Linked DNA regions of Caenorhabditis elegans. The protein of the gene in region 3 purifies or fractionates together with the protein of the main gene of each other region. This does not show direct contact. Each region holds a gene or a part of one and is shown on either strand. Other genes may lie near its edges.

Region 1 (7,288 bases), about 14 Mb from region 3:
AAAACAAAATTCCAATTCTTTCCCCCAATTTTAGCAAAATTCCTCAACCCAATTACACACATAATTTTTTTCAAAACTCATATGTCAGACACAAGATATGAGAGATCATAATATGTATACATATATTGAAAGGCGAGCAACCGGAAAATAAGTAGCATGAGGAGAAAGTGTTAGAGAGAGTACAAATAATGGAGAGGCCGAGGATAACTTCCTGTTATGACCCCCCGGGTTCTTGTGTTGGGAGCAAGACTTCTTTTACTAATTCCTTGGAAAAAATGGAGAAGTTTTGGGATATAAGGGAGATTTTTTCAAATAATAATTGGGAATGTACAACAAAATTTCAAAAATTTAGAGAAAACTAATAGTAAGCAATTTTTCAGAAATGCATATCAATTTATGCTCAAAACTATAATTTTTGAATATTTTAGCTTAAGAGCTTTCATTTAACACCCATCTCGATATATTTTGCTTGATTTTGAAAATTACACGACCGCAACGCGACGCGACCGCAACGCGCCTAGCCTAAATTTGCTCCAATCTCTCTGAAACTCAACTTTTTGAAAACTCGAACACGTGAAGCAATATATAACTTTATTTTGAATTGATTTATCACTTTTCTTATTAGTGTCTTGAAAAAACCGCGACGCGACCGCCTCGCACAGCTGAAAATCATAATAAAGCTAACATAGGAAATATGGGGCTCATTTTGAAGCTGAAAACCACAGAAACCTAATAAAAGTGCTGAAAACTCATGAAATTCATAATTGAAATATTTTCAGCTACCTGGCACTAATCATCTTTGGCTCAGTACTTGTCATTTCTCTACTGGTAATTGTGACAGCAATAGTTTGCAAAAAGATTCCCGGGTGTCCAATGTATCAGAGTATTCATAGTAAGTTCTTTCTTTTTCACGGAAAGTTTGAAATTTCCACCAATTTCAGTGATAACTCGATCGAATGAGTCACCATCTGCGCTCTACCGTCCGGTAGATCAAATTCCGCCAAAAATGTACGAGGCACCGCCTCCCTACGAGTGTTTTGTACCCCCGCCGGTGGTTGCCACGTCATCAACGGATAATAACGAATGGAATTGCATACTGGAAAATGAGGTATGTGGGAGGAGTTTTGATTTTGGCGCCAAAAATTATACATTTAAAAAATTATTAAAATTTCAAAAATTGGATTCGAGAAATATAAATTAAAAATTTTTAAATTTGGCGCCGAAAATTAAAAATGCGAAATTTATTTGAATTCAACGCAAAAATCATAAAGAAAATTTTGAAATTGCACTAAAAGTTTAAAAAATCTCGAAATTTTTTAAATTGGTGCCAAAATGTAGGAACTTAAAATTTTGAATTCAAAGTCAAAATTTAAAACTTTGAAAATTTGGAACTTGGCTCCAAAAAGTGATTTTTCAATTTGGTGCCAAAACTTATTAATTTTACAAATTTCAAATTTGGCGCGAAATTCGAAAATTTTTGAATTCTTACATTTTGCCGCCAAGTAAAATAAAATTCGTTTGTGCCAATTTTCAGATTTTGAATTTTATAATTTTGTCGGTTTTTTCAAAAATTTCGAGTATATAGTTTTTGGCGCCGAAAATTCAAAAATTTTCCATTTGGCGGTAAAAATTTCAAATTTCGCACGGAAATAGTTACAAATAAAAAAAAATCAATATTTTCAGGTAAACGGATCCCGTAGGACACCTCCTCAAATCTCCTAATCTTCCTTTTTTTTTCTAAAAAATTATAAAAAAAATCCTCTCTTCAAATTTAACGGGTCTTGACACGAAGTACTCTCACATTTTAGCATGTTTTTTTTAATGTAAGATATTGAATTCCCCGCCCCCCGGATCATTTGCTCAATTTCTTCTATGAATTTATTGATTTTTTTTCAATCACCCGGCTTCTTCAATTTTTCTGTATTTTTGTGATTTTTTTCGAATTTTTTGGTTAAAAATTCATCATTATTCGGTGCTTTTTCTCATGTGCTTCTTTCAAAATTCTTCCATGTTTGTTGGAATATATGGAATTTTTATGTAAAAATCTTCGATCTCTGCGCTTTTTGCTTCAATAAAAAAATTTAATACCGCGGAAACATTCGTTTGAAGAAAATTTCTTAATTAAGAAAAAGTTCAATTATCACCTTTTCCAGCAAGTTTCCAGCTTGAAATTTTTTATTTATTTAATTATTCAATCATTTCTCATAGTGAGACTTATTATTGATTTATGCTTTCATTTTGTCAAAGTGCGTCCATTTTGTATATATATATATTTTTTTTTTTTTTATGTTGCACAATATTTTCAGGTTAAACAAATATTTAGATACATTTAACTTTACCGTAAAATATGAAAAGGTGCACAGTAAATTGAGAATAATTAAGAAATAAATGTTTAAATTTATTATAAGTGAATTTATTTATTTATAAAAATAGTACGTGAAATATCTATATCCACGCCATTAAAAATTATATTTAAACGTACAAAAGATTCATGCACATGAAAGTATTGTTTAAATTAGGGTTCCCAGCTGAGTGAGGCGCAAAATGCGGGCCTCACGCCGGCCTCACGCCGGCCGGCCTTCGCCTTCGCCGTTCGCCGCTTTCAATAATAATGACGTGAATTTTAAATTTTAATTTTCAAAAATTCGTTGAAAATTTAGAAAAAAAATATAAGAAATGAAAATAAAAGTTTATGTGTAATTCAGTGAAAGGCGAGAGTGACGCCGTGAGGCCGGCGCGGCGACCGCTGAGGCGGGCGAAGGCGCCTTTGCGGCGACCTCATGGGAGCCCTAGTTTAAATCAGGTGAAAAATTAATATTTGAAAAAAAAATCATTAGGGACAACTTTTCGTCCCGTTGGCGAGGAACAGGGAAGTGACCTTTACAACAGCTCTAGCACCTAGCCGGACTAGATTCCCTCGGAATAGCCGGACTAGATTCCCTCGGAATACGATTAAACATGAATTTTTTAAGATTTTGATAATATCGAATTTGTAGATCATCTGTGTCGTTCATGCAATTGAAAAACCAAATGCTAGGTTGATTATTTGTAGAATCGGTAACTATGCGAAACGGAATTCCCAAAAATCCTTCTTGAAATATAGAATTATTTACGTCACTGTTCACAAATGTGACCTTGAACTGGAGAAAGTCCGGTGAAACTAGGAACATCTGAAATTATTTTTTTTTAAAAATTACATGAGATATTCGAACTCACATCTCTCAAATATATAACATTTTTCAATGATAACGAATCCAAAATTATGTCAACTTTTCTGAAGTGAACAAGATTTTCAACATCACACTTGATAACACGCTTAATAATTGTCAACTCTTTCGCATTCCTCCATTGTTCCATGACCAAAAACTCTTCAATGCTCCATACATCACTTGCAGGTACGTCGAAAGATGTTCCAAACTCAATTTTGTTCAGCTTAGAGGGATCCACGGATTGGAGCAGTTGCACTATGGTTTTTTGGTTTCTTGTTGTGACAACCAACTTTTCCACTGGCAGCAATCGACCCAGCGAGGCGTGCAAATCTTTGAACGATTTCAAAAATCGATTCTCATTCTGGTCCCAGATTGAATGACTTTCTGTTTCCTGGGGATTCCCCTCAATTTCATCCATGTATTTTTTTTCTTCTTCCGTAACATCCTTGAAACTTGACTCGCTGGTTTCATCAACTTGCATAAAATTCATTTTAAGTTCTTCCAAAGCAGATTTTTGATTTTTCAAAATAAGGAACAAGTCGTTTGAAAAGTTGCCGTAATCCAACTCGCTAGATTTTCTGGATAATCTTGAAGCCTTATATGAAACTTTTCGGTTTGTGGATTCGGTAAACATCTCAAGAAGTGCGCACCCAATGCTTTGAACATGAATGCCGATTTTGAGTAATTTATGGTCTGGTTTGATAAGGTCGATGCACTGACGGCTTCCATAAGAAATTTTACGGAGCACTTGTCTGAAAAAATAAAATTCAAGCTAAAAAAAATCAAAAGACTTTACATACATATCAAAAAAATCGAGACGTTCAACAACGCTGTTCATAATCACAGTGTTGTAGAACCACAAAGTGCTTGATATCGATGAGCCAGAAACTTCAGACAAAAGCTTCGTTTCATCCATTGTCAGCTGCTCTAGCTGGTTCTGAATAGTTGCATTGTTAACAATAATTTCGTTTCGTGCAAGTATTACACTGTAGGAGAAATAAAATATGCCTGTTCTGTGCTAACTCTAGCTTTTTCTCGTGTCGGGCCATAAATTGAGCAAGATTTTGGCAAAACTTGGTTTAGGTTGCTCTTGATCTGCCACTCTTATCTAATTAGGAAATAATGTTAATTGGACATTAAAAAAGACAGAAGTGAAATGGAAGATCAGATTTTTGGCTACATGAGTTTTTTTGGGGTTACCTGGAACTTAGCAGAATAAAAAAGAATTTAAAAATGATTGCAATGTTCCTATTCGTGTATTTTTTTTTTTCGAAAGTTTTCGAAATTTTTTGTGATGTCTCATTATGAAATTCGGTGGTTTTGGACCAGTTTTAGTCTATTTAAGCAAAATATCCACAAACTCTACTCCCCCTTTAAGTTGATTCACAATTTGGAGAAAAATGCAAATTTAACGAAAATCTGAACTTTTGCCATGATGTCAATGTTATGCCGCAGTGACCGAAAGTTGAAATAATTTAATTCGCACTCTAGTTTGCATGTGGTAATTGGTACATTCAATTTCTAAGTCACAACATCTTGACAGTTTTTCCACACAGCAGGACACACGAATTCTTTTTCAGCATCAGATTTTGTCAGCTCCAAAACTGTTGTACAGGCTCACCTGCTAAAGGTCACTCTCTCGCAAAATATGTAGGAGGCAGTTATATTGCCTGTGTATCTCTACAAACTCAACTCTCTCTATACGCTCACAGGCCACTCCCGTTGTGGGGGAAAAACGGTCAAGATGTTGTGACGTAGAAATTGTAGGTACCAACTATGCTCACTTACCAATTATCAACATGCATAGTCGGTACCTTTTCACTAGTCAAGAACATTGATCACATAGAGTCTACAAATTTTCTGACCGAATATATGTTAATTGGAAATAAAAGAAAAGAGCCAAACTTTCGACGCTTTCACTAATTAAATAATTTTTCTGGGCTTCTTTCCGTTAGTTTTTCGTTGTTCTTTTTGTTGCATAGATTGCATAGCAAAAATAATTTATTCATAGGAAAATTGACAACTGACAAAATTGCCGAAAAAAAATCTAAATAACCCCTATGCAAATTTAGCTATTTACCTGTTAAGTTTTCCAGGTTTTCATAAATTCCCCAAATCCAAGTACTGCTCTAAAACAAATAATCTAAAAATTGTCCAGCTTGAAAAACAAATACCCATCTTCCCAACGTCTTCCAGGAAATTCTAACCGCAATAATATTTTCCTGCATTGCATCCAGATGTTAGTTATTGGAAATATATGAACATGCGAAACGGAAACCAATATTTTCTTGGAACATCTTAAAATGAATGAGATTAGTTTTTCTTTGTATAGAGCTTCTTTACACCTATTACCCTACTCATATGAGTTGATTAAATGTATGGGTACTGTAAGGGTACGGTAGTTAAACTCAAAACTGAACTGTTATTATAATTCTTGCCTACTAATATTTACTGTTGAATTTAGTCATTACGGCCCATTTTCTATTATTTAAAGCAAAAAAATTGACTCTACTCCAGTGGTGGGCGGCAAACGATTTTTTCCGGCTAATCAGCAAATTACCAGAATTGAAATTATAGGCAAATCGGCCAACCAGAAAATTGCCGATTTGCCGGAAAAAACACTTCCGGCAAATTGATATCCGACAAATCGGCAAACCGGCAAATTACCGGAATTCAAAATTCCCGGCAAATCTGCAAACCGGCAAATTGGCACAATTGAAAATTCCCGGCAAACCGGCAAATTGGCCGAATTGAAAATTCCCGGCAAATTCTCTAACCGGAAAATTTCAGGCAAGTCGATTAACCGGCAAAGTGCCGGAGTTAAAAATTTCCGGCAAATCAGCTAACCGGAAAATTTCCGGCAAAGTACCGGAGTTAAAAATTTCCGGCAAATCGGCGGAATTGAAAATTCCCGGCAAATCGGCAAATTAGCGGAATTGAAAATTTCCGGCAAACCGGCAAATTTGCCGAATTGAAAATTTCCGGCAAATCAGCTAACCGGAAAATTTCCGGCAAAGTGCCGGAGTTAAAAATTTCCGGCAAATCGGCGGAATTGAAAATTCCCGGCAAATCGGCAAATTAGCGGAATTGAAAATTTCCGGAAAATCAGCAAACCGGCAAATTACCGGAATTTAAAATTCCCGGCCAATCGACAAACCGGCAATCTGGCGGAATTGAAAATTCCTGGCAAACCGGCAAATTGGCGCCATTGAAAATTCCCGGCAAGTTGGCTAACCGGAAAATTACCGGAAATTAAAATTTTCGGCAAATCGGCAAACCGTCAAATTGGCGGAATTTAAAATTCCCGGCGAACCGGCAATTGCCGGAAATGAAAATTTTCGGCAAATCGGCAAACTGGCAATTCGCCGATTTGCCGTTTTTGTCGGAAAAAAATTTGCCACGCACCCCTGATCTACTCCACCTCTAACAATGACGTAATTCTGATAGATAATAAAAATCTGTTTTTTTTATTTCTAATTTTAAATTCAATAATCTCAAATCAGCATGTTTTCAAAATTACATTCAATACTCGAAACCTTGAAAATCTCAATATCAAAAAACCTTTTCACTTCTCCATTTTTTATGTGCATAAGCATAAACAACAAACATTTTTGCCCTGCCGCGCGCTCTCAAAAAAAAAAAAGGCGGCGGCGCCCCCCGTTTCTCCCCCGGGGGCACCCACGTCCATCAACTGTGGTGCTACTCATTGTGAAGAGCATGGAGCAACGAATGTTGTGTGTGTGTGTTTTAACACTTACTTTTTCATTTTTTTTTCATTCTCAATGTGTGTTCCTATATTATTTCTTATTTCTATTAATTGACCTGGTTTCCCCATTCCAGGAAATTCCAGCTCCAGCTCCTCTCACCTCCAGAGCCACAATTCAAAAATTGTGCTGTTTTGCAAAGAGGGAAGGGGGAGGGGGATACATGGAATAAAAGCCCCCATATTCTTGTGCCTCTAAAAAAGAATCTCAGAAGATGCGGGGGGCGATTCCCAGTGGGCGCCCCCCTCTCAGGCACCAGCTCTTGTTCTTCTCCACTGCCCGACCTTTCTTCTGGTGGTGGTGGTGGTGGTGGTG
Region 2 (7,263 bases), about 12 Mb from region 3:
TGAAATGGTGGTAGATGAATCAATCAATCTCCATGCAATGCATAAATGGGATGCATCTATGGTCTCGATTATTAGAAATAAAAGTGGTTTTAAATCCAAAAAAACATTTTAAGAAATACATTTGCACGATCTGCAACAATAATAGTTGCCGTCATCCCATCATTCCTTCTCACATCATAACCACCTATGACACGATAATCACCACATCCCGATAACTTTTTCGGCAAATGAACAATAAATTCTCTATCTGCTGGGGCAACGTGATATGCTATACCTTTAAAAAGTGGTTCGAGAACATCTTCAACGTCCCACCTGAATGCATCTAAATCGAACCATGCAGATTTCAGTTTTCTGTCGGATCTGTGCATCCAGTGCTTCAGAAATATATTGACATCTTCGATTTTCAGAAAAGCGGTGAATGAACGGGCATTTGTAACAAACACATCATTAAGATCACATTTCGTTGATACTACGTTCATGTTTCGTGTTAAAATCATTTGCATTTGTTTAGATGGTTCTATTGAGAATGGGTTTCTATTTAAACAAATTGAATCAGTTTTGCCGGAAAACTGTCTCAATGCATCTTCATCTTGTGAACTATTGTTGTCCGATGTCATGGACATCATGGACAACCACCCAAACTCCATTCCTTTGAGTTCATTAGAACATTCAGGGTCAGCTGTACTAATATGTAAGCTATCAAGTTTTGTTTGATGAAATATTTCCATAAGATGATTCAAAAATTGTCTCACTCCAAAAAATGGGGTTTCCCATCTTTCCCCTCTGAAACCAACATGCACTCTTATGGGCTTCTGTACAGTATGGTGGCTGGGGGTTGAACATTCGAAAGTGTAGAATCGGAAATCTCTACAACCGGAAACGTCAATCAATATTTCATTTGAATTAATTGCGATGATAAAACGTTCGGTTTTTATACCAAGGTGTTTAGTTTGTTGCATTGCAGCTTTAGATGTGAATGATAATTCAACTCTGTAATGAATATTTCATATTGACAAGGAAATGCGATTAGTGAACCATATCCCTGGATCAAGGCTATTTGAGAACGGGATGTTTGAATTTTAATTTTACTAGTCGGAGGAAGTCGAGAGGTAGGCTCGAAAGACACCGGCTTGTTGAGTAATAAAAGTTTCAAAGTAACTATACATTTCATTAAAACTTCTCGAATCACTCAAGCAATTTTTCGAATTACGCTCTTCAGCAAACTACAGAAAAAATTTAATGATGATCTATGTACTCACAATGCTTCTATGCACATTCTGCGCAGCACGACATCAATCGATTTTTGAGGTAATTTGAGCAATGTGAAGGGAATAGGCACATAGTCATCCATGGTCACAAATAAAGAATGAGCAGATGGGAGGATTGAGTGGTAATGTTCAGTGACCTCTTATTTCTCTAACTCTCTACTTACTTGTTATTATACATCTGCTGCAGAGACAAAGATTTCCTTCGTCCGTAACCACTCCCATGTTCCCAGGACCCATTAACATATTCTAACGTCTTCTTATTCTGACAAAAAGAATCTTCTCAAACACTTCACTCTCACGGACGAACGGACAATCATCTTATGGAAATATTTCATCAAAAGAGAATTGATAAGTTATCATTTGATACTGCACAATTCGAAAGTACGATTTGTGATGAATTCGAAGGATTGGAGTTTGAGGATTTGCAGCTAGGCACAGTGTTTGGCTTTAACAGTTTGCTATATGAACATGTGTTGAAACAGTTTTCCGGTAAAACTGATTCAATTTGTACAAGCAGCAAAAACCCGTTCTCAATAGAAGCATCTAAACAAATGCAAATGGTTTTAACACGTAACATGGACATAGTTGTACTACACCAATCATTGAAATATGATCTTAATGATGTACTAAATAGTGACAAATGCTTCCGCATTCGTCGCTTATCTAAGAATCAAAGATGTCAATATATTTTTGAAACACTGGATTCACGGAGTCGACAGGAAACTGGAATCTGCGAATTTCGATTTTACTGCATTCAGGTGAGACGAAGATCTTCTCGAATCACTCTTTGAAGGTATAGAATATCTAGCAGATAGCTATCTCTAGTGCGCTTTCGATGCTGAGGAGACTGTGGATAGAGAATTTTTTGTTCTTTTGCCGTTGGGATTGACGGGATGTGACGAGTATCCTGTCAAAGGTGGTTATGATGTGAGAAGGAATGATGGGATGACGGCTATGTACTATTTATCATTGTAGATCGTGCAGATATATTAATCAAAATGTTTTTCTGGTTTTAAAATCACGTTAATTTTTAATAATCAAGACCACGCATTGGATCACTTTCTAATTTTTTCTGCACTCTCTGAATTATTTCTCTTGTATAATTTTCGAATAATGTTGCCGCCAATAATAACACGTTTTATTTTTGATAAGAACAACTTTTATGGACAAATAAAAAACATTGTGAGATTTATGAGAAGGAATTCCGGGATTTTTAGGAGTTACATACAATAAATACTGTCAATTAATTGGATTATGGCCTCATTTCTTTTTGTGGCCATTTCCCTTTTTTGGAGCAGTTGATGCAGTGAGCCCTGCAACTTCTCGGAAGGCAACCACGTATTTCTGAGCAACCGGCATTGGAGGGCAGAATCCTGATGCATAGCTGTCGTCTTCGAACGCTACTTGATATGGTTCTCGAAAATCTGCTGGCGGGGAGTGAACTATTCCTGGAAAATAATTATTTTATTTTTGAAACTTTTGTGAAAATTGGTACCTTTGTAGAAGCAAGTGGTTTGTGGATACAACGCCAACACAATCGCATTTTTCTCGAAAAGTGCATGCTTGTCTGATGCAGGATTCGCTTTCCATTTTGGGAGGGGTAACAAATGGCTTCTCGCGAAAACTGTCAACTTCTTCTTGTCATCATCAACGTCTCGACACTCATATCGCGAGTTAGAGTGACATGTGACAATATCAGCAAGAATCCAGTTTCCGTCTTTACTGAATGCCGCCACTGAATCTCCGTCGCCTAGTTTCGAGCCATCCTGTGGTGCAATAGCTCCAACATATTCTCCAGGAAATTGTGTGTCATGGCTGGTCCATAATGGAAGAAGGTCGCCGCGAACCTTGATCAGTTCCATTAAATCTCTCCGACTGATGTCTCCGGCCATTTGGGAGCGATAATCCATTTCAGCAACACGTTTTACTTCGTCCAAAAGATTTCTGTAATATTTATTTTAATTTTGAGAGATTAAAGATGAAAACGAACCTAATGAATGATTGTTGTGATTCCACAGATCGATGAGTGCTGGTGACAAAATGTGAAATTCCATCGAAAACCATGGAAACTTCTCAGTAAACCCGTTCAGAATATACCCAGATTTCAACCGAATTTGTGCACAGCATGCAGAAATCGCCGAATTTGTACAGATTGCAAATTTGAACAGATTTTCGAGGCAATTGCCCCGAAAATTTTGTTGAAACTATTCAAAACTTTACTTCAAATTTTAAAAATTTATCTAAAACTTGGTCTTCATTGATTTCTTTTGTTAAGATTTTAATTGATATTTGCAAGAAAACTTTAAAATCGTGGCGAGACCCAGCCGTACAACCACGTGCCCCTTTAAACAGACTACTGTATTTATATTGAATTTTTAATGATTGGATTTCGCAAAAATTAGTTATAAAAATTGTTTAAAAAAACCCACTTTACCCTTTCCATAGGGGTTCGGCTCATTATCTCGGAATTCTTGAAGTTTTTGCAGATTCTCGTTGATAGCGTCTTGCTTCGATTTCACTGTTGGCAGCTGGAAAATTAATTTCAAAACTAGGAATAAATAAATAAATAAAACTCACCTTTTTGATAACCTCTTCGGCGGTTTTCTTCTTCATTTCCTCGGTGATTTGCACATCGTTCTTCTTCCGAGGCATTTTGAAATTATGCTATTTTCCTGAACAAGGAAATGAAGAGGTGCAATAGAGCAGATATATATTTAAACGGGAAGAATCGAGAGAGACCTGATTACGTGATGAGACGGGGAGAGTGCAGACATTACAAGTCGTATGCTGTGAATGAGGCAATGAAAAGGCCAGGTTGTTGCGGTGGGAAAATAACGTATATGGAGTAATTTACCAGTGAAAAGCCGGGAATAGTTGAAATTCATATTCTAATCAATCAATCAGAGCAGTAATGCATTGTAAAATTATACCTCAAACAAATTCATCTTTGAAAAAAAATCAAAATAAATGCGGGCAATATACATGTCGAATATAAACAAAATAGTCGTGGGTTGTCACAATTTGGGCATTGGAGAATCTATATACATAAAACAACTAAAACAAAAAAGGAAAATAAAATAGGGGAAGTTAGTTGGAATATTCAACAGGAACCACTCGGTTATTTAAATACATATACAATAATACAGACTTATGCACATTACTACTAATTATAGGACATATATGGAGTTACTCGTCCTCTTCATCCAGTTCGAATGTTTCGAGAAACGAGATCAGGTCGTCGACTGGCGCAATTCCGTTTTCCAGCGAGATCATATCCTTTTCGACCTCGAATTCGTGGATTTCGACTGGCTCTTCGACAATCAGCACTCGCCGGTTCATGCACTTCACCGTTTGCTCCAATTCGATGTACTGAAAATGTTATAAATTGGAAATCGATAGAATTATTGCTATACAACTCACTCTATTTCTTCGGAAAGGATCCCTGGTGCTCGAGTTGTTCTTGTACACGATCCTCGTTTCCACGTGGCGCTTTCCTCGAATTGAACACGTGATTGATGCAGTCGAAGTCATCAGCCGGCCTTGTGAATCGAGTCCTGGCTCGAGATTTCCGTATTCCCGGCAGTGTGTGGTTCTCAGGAGACGAGTGATAGTCTGAAACATGAAAAGTTATTTGTGTGTAATATAAAACCGATTTACTTACTCTCTTCGTCTGTGATCGGATCAGGGTTGCAACCACAAAGCTATCTGTCATTTGGAACCTTTCGTTTTCCTTCTCTAGTTGTTCGAGCAATGCAAATAACGTTTGGAACGACATTTCATTGGTTGTCTGGATAGCAAATCGAGCCACATTTTGTCCCGTTTCCTTCGGTTCGGTCAGGAGAGAAGTCTGAAATGAGATTTATGCTTTATCAAAAATATGGCCAAGAAACTAACCAGAATCAAACTAGAGATATCCTCGACCGACAGCTTCCGGCACTGAGCGGCAAAATAATGTGGTCGTTGGTTGGGATGAAGAAACACGTGCTCGACAAGCGCTTTCTCCGATTCTCTGGTCGTGTGGAACCATCTTTGCGAGAAATAGTCGTAGCGCTTAAGACGAAGATTTTCAATCGGCACAGTCTGAATGTGCCGGAGCACTTTGACAGCTTCATCGCGGATGATTGTCTTGCTCGGTTTCTTGTCGACGAGCTTTGGAGTCTCATCGATACGATGAACGGAACAGTAGTTCTCATCTTCGACGAGCTCCACATCTTCTCCGTGCCCTTCGATAATTACATCATGATTGATGTTGGGTTGTGGTGGGAGGGAAGAGCAACCGGCTCGAGCGGTTTCCAAGCGATCTTCTTCGGCGTAGTTGGCGACGTATCTGGTCGCCGTCAAATCGCGAAGGACGGTGCGAGATGGAGCTGACATTCTGAAAAACGTTGATTTAAAATTTTATAAAAAATTTGAAGCAAAAATGAAAGAGAAAACTAAAAAAAAAGTAAATGTACTGAAGTGATTGGCAGATTAATAATAATTTATCGATAAAACCATTTTTTAAAAAACTTCATCAGTTTTTGTGAGTGTCAGCAAAGAAGAAGAAGATTCACGATCAAAAATTCGTTGAGCCTATATGAAATAGTTGCGCTGGTTTTTCGACGGGGGGATCAAATACGTCAAATAGGTCAAATAGACGAAGCATTCATAAAAAGTACAATATTCATTGAAAAATAGTTTTGGATTTGTTTTTTTGTTTTCTTCATTTTTTTGTTGAAAAAATAATGGTAATTAAAAGTTTTTAATAATTATTTAAATCAAGATTGAAATATCAGAAAACGACAAAAATTCGTTCGAGAACTTTCTCAAGACTACCGTACTCTTTAAAGACGCATGACGATTTTCACATGGGTCTCACCACGACTTGTCTGAAATTTGAATGTTCGTTCAAAAACTTTTTTTTTTGCGATTTTCAAAACCAAAGCTTAACAAACAATTTTCCTCAAGTTTTCAACGCTTTTTGCTCGTTTTTTTCGCTCAAATAAATTATTTCAGAAGGTTTTGCAATGGGGGTTATCATCCCCGCTGTACTTCTCGCTTCGGCGACGATAATCGCTTGGCTTCTCTACAAACACTTGAGAATGCGTCAAGCTTTGAAGGTTTGATTTCAAAATTCATTTGAAGATAATTTAAATAAATTTTCAGCATCTCAATCAACCACGTTCATATCCAATCGTCGGTCACGGACTGGTCACCAAGCCAGATCCAGAGGGATTCATGAACCAAGTAATTGGAATGGGATATTTATATCCAGATCCACGTATGTGTCTTTTGTGGATTGGTCCGTTCCCTTGCCTGATGCTCTACTCCGCCGATCTCGTGGAACCAATTTTCTCGTCGACGAAACATCTGAACAAAGGTTTCGCATACGTTTTGCTTGAGCCATGGCTTGGAATCAGTATTTTGACAAGCCAGAAGGAACAATGGCGTCCAAAGCGAAAACTCTTGACACCCACCTTCCATTATGATATTCTGAAGGATTTTTTGCCGATTTTCAACGAGCAATCAAAGATTTTGGTTCAGAAAATGTGTTCCCTCGGAGCAGAGTGAGAATTTCAATTTATAACGCTTTCAAATATTCATTTTCAGGGAAGAAGTTGATGTTCTCTCCGTTATAACCTTGTGCACTCTTGATATCATTTGTGAAACTTCCATGGGCAAAGCTATCGGTGCTCAACTCGCGGAGGTTCGAGAAATTCTTCAATCGCAACATTTCTAAACGTTTTTTTTTCAGAATAACGAGTATGTATGGGCGGTGCACACAATCAACAAGCTGATCTCAAAGCGAACAAATAATCCGTTAATGTGGAATTCGTTTATTTACAATTTGTACGATAGTTTTATCATTAAAAAGGTCAATTCAATTTTATTTTTCAGAACAGAAGACGGACGAACGCATGAAAAATGTCTTCGTATTCTACATGATTTCACGAAGAAAGTAATTGTCGAGAGAAAAGAAGCGCTACAGGAGAATGATTATAAGATGGAAGGTCGT
Region 3 (7,373 bases):
TTAATTTTCTCTGCTCAAAATCAGGCAAAGTATTTTCGGTAAAAATTACCCACTTTTTATTCTAAATTTTTACCCATTTCTACGTTTATGGACAAATGTTGCTTTTTTTGAGAAACAAGTTCAACTTTTTATGTTTTCTTAAATAAAAATGACGATTTTTTTCTGATTTTTGCACGCCATTTTTCTCAAATTGCCCAACAAAAAGTGGCTCACCGTTAGAATATATTCTCCGGGAAAAGCGTTTGTAGTGTACGATAGCAGGAGACACGTCTTACCGACGGCTCCGTCACCAACGACGACACATTTGATTGCTTGCATCTGGAGCTCCGCGAGCAAAAAAACTGAAAATTGGTTCAAGAACAGGAAAAATTTTAATCATGATATTGAAAAATATAGGAGATAACCTTCGGGGGGAAACCTAATGGGGTTATTCAAGTAGTGTCGGAAAATTAAAAAAGTGTAGGAATATTAGGTCACTTTATGTACATGTTTTTTATGTATTTTAATACACAAAGTGACGTAATATTCCTACACCTTTTAATTTTCCGACACTACTTGAATAACCCCATAACTTGTTCCCTCGAAAAACTAAAAAATGAGAAGCAAAACTGGATATAGTAAGAATATTTCATCTTGTCGTGTTTATTAAAGGGATGAAGCAATTACAGAATAGAAGAGTAAATGGGGACAAACAACAGACACGTGGTAAGTATAAGGAAGAAAAGTATAACGAAACAGGAGTATAAGGAAAATATAAGGAATGACCTTGAATGCGCGTTTCATTTAGTTTTATAGGTGAATTGGGCCGGGCCGAAGAACGATCGAGAACTACTGATGAATCCTATGAGGGAGGTAGGGATTCCATGCAGGCGGGATAACGTCTGCCACGCGCGCTTTGCGGTGACCCCCGAGCGGAACCCGAAAAGCGTCGGCCGCAGCTAAAACCACATTTCGCACTGAGTTGTCTGTACACCACGCCTTTGACTTTTCGTCATAGTGCAGAAATTAGGATGACCATCAAATTAAACTATGGCTTCCATGTGAGAGCCGCATGGCGGAGGCGCCTTTGCCGGCCTCACGCCGGCCCGCCGTCGCCTTCGCCCCTCGTCGATGTATGTGCGCAACGAAGTGGTAGTTATATGGAAGCGGCCGACACGTTCGAGGTTTCGCGCCGCACTATACATACGGATACTTGCGGCGTTAGTGGCGACATGAGGCCGGTGGAGGCGCCTGACCGGCGCCCACATGGAAGCCCTAAAAGAATTCACAATCAAAGCTCAAATTACGAGTTCTCGCCAAAAACATGGTGAAACTCCGATTTTAGCTTTGAACACACACGTGGTTCGTTTTTTGGTCTGTTATAGGTGGGTACTAATCATGTGGTAATAACTTTGTGATGATCAGTCCTCAAGGCAAGGGATTATCCTCTCCTTCAATTTTTTTTCCGACCTGAAAATATGAAATTCCAACGACGAAAAGCTTCAGAAGCTTTTATGTATTGAAAATTAGTATGGTAGTTGAAATTGTTGTAGTTTCTGTAATTTGAGTTCTCCAATTTCCTCGCATTTTAAAGCACCGTGCAATTGCTCTTTTTGGCTCTCGTTTGTGGTGTTTGTGGCGGGGTGAGCCCAGTACGAATTGCCTCATCGAAAACTTGTTTCAATCCAATTTGGGTAAGCGCCGAGCATTCCAGGTACTTGACCGCCTTGATTTCCTTTGCCATCACGTAACCCTGGGTGTGGCTCACTGGTTGGAGCCGACGTTCACGGAGCCTGCAAAAATTTTATTTTTCAAGAGTTTTTGGGGGTATTACATTGGAGTTGCTGTCTTTTTTGGCCGAAAAGGTAAAAACATGGGGAGATATGCAAAAGTTTCACACCCAATTTCTTGCCATATCTCTCTCAAACATGATAAAAAAGTTGTTTCGATGCTAAAATGAATCCCAAAAAATTACCGTTCAATAGTATCTCGATCCTCGCGTAAATCAGCTTTAGTTCCAACCAAAATAATCGGTGTATTTGGGCAATGATGTGATACTTCTGGATACCATTTTGCACGAACATTCTCAAAACTTGCTGGATTATTCAGTGCAAAGCATACGAGGAATACGTCTGTTTGTGGAAATGACAGGTGGCGGAATCTGAAGAAAAATGGGGAAATTTAAGTGGGCTGTAAATTTACATTCACATGTAAATACAATAAACATTCATTAGATAGATTAGATATAGTTTAAGATTTTTTTCATTCCCTACGAAATTTGATATGAAATGTTACTTTTTGATAGACATTCTTTTTGTCATTATAAAATAGAATCCGCTTGAAAATTGCTAGAAAAATTGTAAAAAGTAGAAAAAAAAGTTGTGGAGGAAATATTTTTAGCAATTTTCACAATAACAAAATTGTACTTTTAGCAGACAATAGGTCGGTTAAAAATTTTAGAAGTTTCAGAATGTTTCGCTCTAAAATAGAAAATTGCTCTAAAATAGGCGAAAACTTTGAAAAAATTTACTATCAACTATTTTGAGAAAATGAAATTTGGCTCATTTTTTGACGCATTTTTCAGATTTTTCCGCACGTACTGATCGTAATCGTCCTGTCCAGCTGTGTCCCATAGGCTGAGATTTATTGGCCTTCCGTCGACCATCACATTTGTTGAGTAGGTGTCGAATACCTGCATAAATATTGGGCTTAATTCGAGATTATAAGGAAAAAGCCCAATTTCAGACCGTTCTCCAATTTTATCTGGTTAAAATCAGGCAAAAAAAGGTAAGAACTTTTCATATTTTCATCATGTAAATTAGCACTTTAATCGTGTTTTCGGTCAAAATTTTCCACTTTCAGAGGGTTCATTCAAAAAATGTTTTCATTTTTACGTTTACGGACAGAAGTTGCCTTTTTTTGAAAAACGAATTCAACTTTTCATGGTTTTTTAAATAAAAAAGTATAGATAGATTTTTTTTCAAATTTTTTTTCAAATTTTTGCGCTAAAAAATAAGATTTTTTGAAAAAAAAATTTTCAAGTGCCAACCCGAATTTTTCTCAAGTGCCCCGACAAAAAGTGGCTCACCGTTAGAATATATTCTCCGGGAAAAGCGTTTGTAGTGTACGATAGCAGGAGACACGTCTTACCGACGGCTCCGTCACCAACGACGACACATTTGATTGCTTGCATCTGGAGCTCCGCGAGCAAAAAAACTGAAAATTGGTTCAAGAACAGGACAAATTTTAATCATGATATTGAAAAACATTGGAGAAAACCTGATAGGAGGGGGAAATCTAACTAACGTTTTCCCTCGGAAAACTTTAAAAAATAAGAAGCAAAACTGGATCTAGTGAGATTATTTCATCTTGTCATGTTGATCAGAGGAATTAAGTAATTACAGAATAGATGAGTAACAGACACGTGGTAAGTATAAGGAAGACAAAAATAACGAAATAAGAGTATAGGGAAAATATAAGGAATGACCTTGAATGCGCGTTTCATTTAGTTTTATAGGTGAATTGGGCCGGGCCGAAGAACGATCGAGAACTACTGATGAATCCTATGAGGAAGGTAGGGATTCCATGCAGGCGGGATAACGTCTGCCACGCGCGCTTTGCGGTGACCCCCGAGCGGAACCCGAAAAGCGTCGGCCGCAGCTAAAACCACATTTCGCACTGAGTTGTCTGTACACCACGCCTTTGACTTTTCGTCATAGTGCAGAAATTAGGATGACAATTGAGTTCCAACCGCTGCGACACTGAAAAGTTGTCAATAGGGCTGTTAAACAGGACGTCCTCATCGTCCTCCCAATTTTTATACCAAAGTCCTCGGACTTAACACATTAATTTTGATAACGAAAATAGATTATTTGGGTTAATATTATCTGGATTCGAGTTTGAGGCTGAATTTTCCTGTTAAACGGACGCCAAAATAAGCCATCAAAAAATGACAAGGACGACCTAGGACGTCCTAAATAACAGCCCTAGTTGTGAAAATTTGAGATTTCAGCAAAATATAGCCGATTTTTCCAAAATTTTTGAGTGATCATAACTGTTTTTTTTAGCAATCTAATTACGAAAATTTGTAGTATTGTGCCATTTTTAAATTTTCCTCATTTAAATTTTTTTTTTAACGTGTGGAGTTTTTGTATCTTTAGGCTCAGGAAATAACCATTTCTAAGCCTAAAGAGGGGTAATGGACATCACGTTTTATTAAAATGGATACATTTCAAAAAAAGGGAATAGGGCTTCCATGTGAGAGCGGCGCGGCGGAGGCGCCGTCGCCCTTCGCCGGTGTGTGTGCGCAACGAAGTGCGAAAGGTAGTTATTTGGAAGCGGCCGATACCTTCCGAGTTCCGCAGCTCGGCGTGTGTAGCTTGGCGAGTGAGCAACGTAGTGCGAAACACAAGTACCCATTTCGGTACTCCACCTTTACTTGTCATTGGTCAAGAATGTTACAGAAACAAAATTTTCGCTCTTGCCGTAAATAACATTCACCTGTCAGTAACTTTATTTCACACTAATTCCTAATCTATAATATAAATTTGGCAGTACATTGCTTTAAAAGAAGTACCAATGAACGACACTATTGTAAAAATTACTGAAACAATATATTATTCTTTCAAGATATTTTTTATTGCTTCGGTGATTGTTTTTTCGGCATTATTCCCAGTTTATGTGTACGTGTTCAAAATGAATCGAAAACTCGATAAAGCGGTATTCAACACGTGCATTGCATTAAACATAACTTTCTCATTCAGATGATACTGTTTCCAGCTGTTAATCATCTTTATCAAATGTCCAGAAACGTCTATTTCCTATACCTAGCGTTCCTGTTTTTCTTGTGCTTTAGTTGTCTTAATATGTGAGATAAAAAATTCTTGATCCAGAACAATAACTTTTTTTAAAAGAAATTCTCCTAACTACTTTAACATCTCCTATTTAACACTTCCTATTGTAATATATGTGCTCTACATAATAACACAGGTTTTCTCCCTGTTGACGTTTCTCCTGTCTCTCCAACGATTTATATTATATTTCAAGCCCTCAAGTGAACAGTATTTAACCAAAATACCATTTTCAAAGAGATTTATCTTTTTTTAAATTTAATTGTGGCTATCCTTTGAAAACAAAATAAATGTATTAGTAATAACTACAAACTGAATATCACCTGCTTAAATGTTACGACGTTAGAAAACGGTGCTTTGAATCAATGCAAAAACAATGTTTAAAGTAGTATTTATTCAAAACATTCGGTTTGGTGCTACAATTGTATTCATCGAGTGTAAACTGATCCCCGAAACATTTTCGCTAGACTGTCTCAGTTTAAAAAACTTCCCGAAACCTCCCAGGATAAATTCTCGGTAAGGTTTCTGTACAATGAGCATAACAATTGTTGATATGAAACCATGTGTTGCAACTATAATATACATAGTATTATTCAATGCCGCATTGAAAAATGGTGTATATGAGAAATAGGCCATTGGAATGGAGATAATGGAAAAGGGAATTGCCAATTGCAAAAACATCGCCTTCATCAGCTTTTTTTGTAGTTCCAAGGTTTGTTTCGAACGGACTTTGCCATATTTTTTAAGAGCACGGTAGATTTGAAAAAAGAGTGCCAAGCAGGTAACATAAAGTAGTATTGCTTCTCCTACAGTCCCCATCAGATATTGCAATTTGTTTTCCACGGCAAGGTAGAGAGGGAGAGCGCGAACTTCATCTGATAGGCAGGGTAGGGCTGGCCAAGTGTCGTCAATAAACAAAAATTTTCATTTATTTCTGTAGTCGAAAAATGAATCTCACACGTGATTCAAAAAATTAGAAAGTCATTTCTTGACACTTCGTGGTGTCGCTTTTCGACACTGAATACGTGGATAAAAATGAATGAAAATTATAATTGTTAATCAAAGTATTTTATTAAATTTTTCAACTGCCACATCATTGTTTTCTGTGCTCATTTGAAAAAACGTGAACTGGGAAATAAAATCAAAAATAAAAACAATAAATCAACGTTTCGAGTGTCTAAACTCGACGGTGTCGGTTTTCGACACGTCAAATATTGACAAAAACAAAAGTGTCGAAGAGTGACCCCCGTCACGTGAATATTTTTTAAGTTGTCGTATTTTTTGACATTTGGCCAGCCCTAAGGCAGGGAAGAGACTGAAAATTGATAATTTAATTTCTATGATTAACAAGGCTATTATCTGGAACCACCTCTATGATAAAATCTTTTTTGTACTCTATTCCTGGTGGCATTGTAGCATAAACTGGATAGAAGGTGGCAATAGCAGTAAAATAGTAAAATGCAAAGAATGGCGAACGTGCATATTCCCATTTTGTTGGATTGATTAACAAAATGGAAAGTCGGTTTTCTAGTACAACAATGACTGCGCATCCGTCGCTGAAAACTCCATTGATAATTTATTTAAAGGTGGAGTATAGAAATTGGAGATTTTTCATAACTGCTCAAAAGTTTGGAGAAAAAATGATCGAATTTTAGTTGCAATCTCAAAATTTTGTAACTTGGCAGTGGCAATACGCGAAAATACGTTTTTATTGTATTGTCATACTTTAATACGAATATGATCTAATTTTGTGCACTCATCGACAAAAATTTACCTAAATCAATGACAAAACCAAAGTACCGTAATATGTATCAAAAAGTGCTTATTAAATAAAAATCAAGTTTCTACCGCTGCGCCACTGAAAAGTTGTCGAAGCTTGAGATTTTACCTAAAGAAGGTCATTTTTTTTCCAAAACTTCAGGTCATAACTTTTTTGAGAAATTTTCAGAACGTCTCGTTACGAAATTTGGTAGTTGTGGCCCACACAGCGCATTTTTTACTACAAAAGCTGGAACAGAGTATTTGATTGTGATTTTTTTCTTCAGTTTTTTCAATGAGACTTGTCTGAATTTTCACTGAAACATTCGAACAAACTCAAAAATTAATTTAAACTGTTTGAAATGTTCATAAATCTTCTCTAAATTTTTTTTTTCAAAAATTTTGAAAATTCAATAAAAATCAAAATTTTTTTCCAAAATCAGATTTTTTCGCGTTTTTTGTCTGAACTTTCACTAATTGTAACTAATTTGCTTTTTTTCACTGATGATTTCTCAATTTTTAAGTCTGTTCGGATGTTTTAGTGAAAATTCAGACAGAAAACACGACAAAATCTGATTTTGGAAAAAATTTAGATTTTCATTGATTTTACAAGATTTTTGAAAGAAAAATTTTAGAGAAGATTTATGAACATTTCAAACAGTTTAAATTAATTTTTGAGTTTGTTCGGATGTTTCAGTGAAAATTCAGACAAGTCTCATTGAAAAAACTGAAGAAAAATCACAATCAAATACTCTGTTCCAGCTTTTGTAGTAAAAGATGCGCTGT

What was found.
Region 1: the proteins of rac-2 (region 3) and R05C11.2 fractionate together in Caenorhabditis elegans (co-fractionation; one large-scale study listed by BioGRID). This does not show direct contact.
Region 2: the proteins of rac-2 (region 3) and Y17G9B.8 fractionate together in Caenorhabditis elegans (co-fractionation; one large-scale study listed by BioGRID). This does not show direct contact.

The regions. Positions count from the first base shown.
Region 1 is NC_003282.8:2,054,987-2,062,274, forward strand, and holds R05C11.2 (DUF38 domain-containing protein), read right to left. Parts: upstream 4,126-7,288; coding exon 4,010-4,125; intron 3,962-4,009; coding exon 3,217-3,961; intron 3,171-3,216; coding exon 2,892-3,170; 3' UTR 2,392-2,891; downstream 1-2,391. Other genes in the region: R05C11.4 (Protein shisa-9), read left to right, coding at 780-892, 942-1,108, 1,684-1,722.
Region 2 is NC_003282.8:4,754,786-4,762,048, forward strand, and holds Y17G9B.8 (SGF29 C-terminal domain-containing protein), read right to left. Parts: upstream 4,056-7,263; 5' UTR 3,846-4,055; intron 3,797-3,845; 5' UTR 3,333-3,796; coding exon 3,259-3,332; intron 3,213-3,258; coding exon 2,764-3,212; intron 2,717-2,763; coding exon 2,529-2,716; 3' UTR 2,392-2,528; downstream 1-2,391. Other genes in the region: fbxb-77 (F-box associated domain-containing protein), read right to left, coding at 275-990, 1,260-1,351; Y17G9B.11 (PID domain-containing protein), read left to right, coding at 1,820-2,026, 2,077-2,157; memi-1 (MEiosis-to-MItosis transition associated), read right to left, coding at 4,455-4,637, 4,689-4,880, 4,930-5,115, 5,163-5,642; cyp-31A3 (CYtochrome P450 family), read left to right, coding at 6,275-6,367, 6,414-6,814, 6,858-6,954, 7,003-7,097, 7,146-7,263.
Region 3 is NC_003282.8:16,304,024-16,311,396, reverse strand, and holds rac-2 (Ras-related protein rac-2), read right to left. Parts: upstream 3,173-7,373; coding exon 3,068-3,172; intron 2,672-3,067; coding exon 2,580-2,671; intron 2,141-2,579; coding exon 1,955-2,140; intron 1,773-1,954; coding exon 1,568-1,772; downstream 1-1,567. UniProt on the Caenorhabditis elegans protein: During gonad morphogenesis, plays a role in distal tip cell (DTC)-mediated guidance of gonad elongation.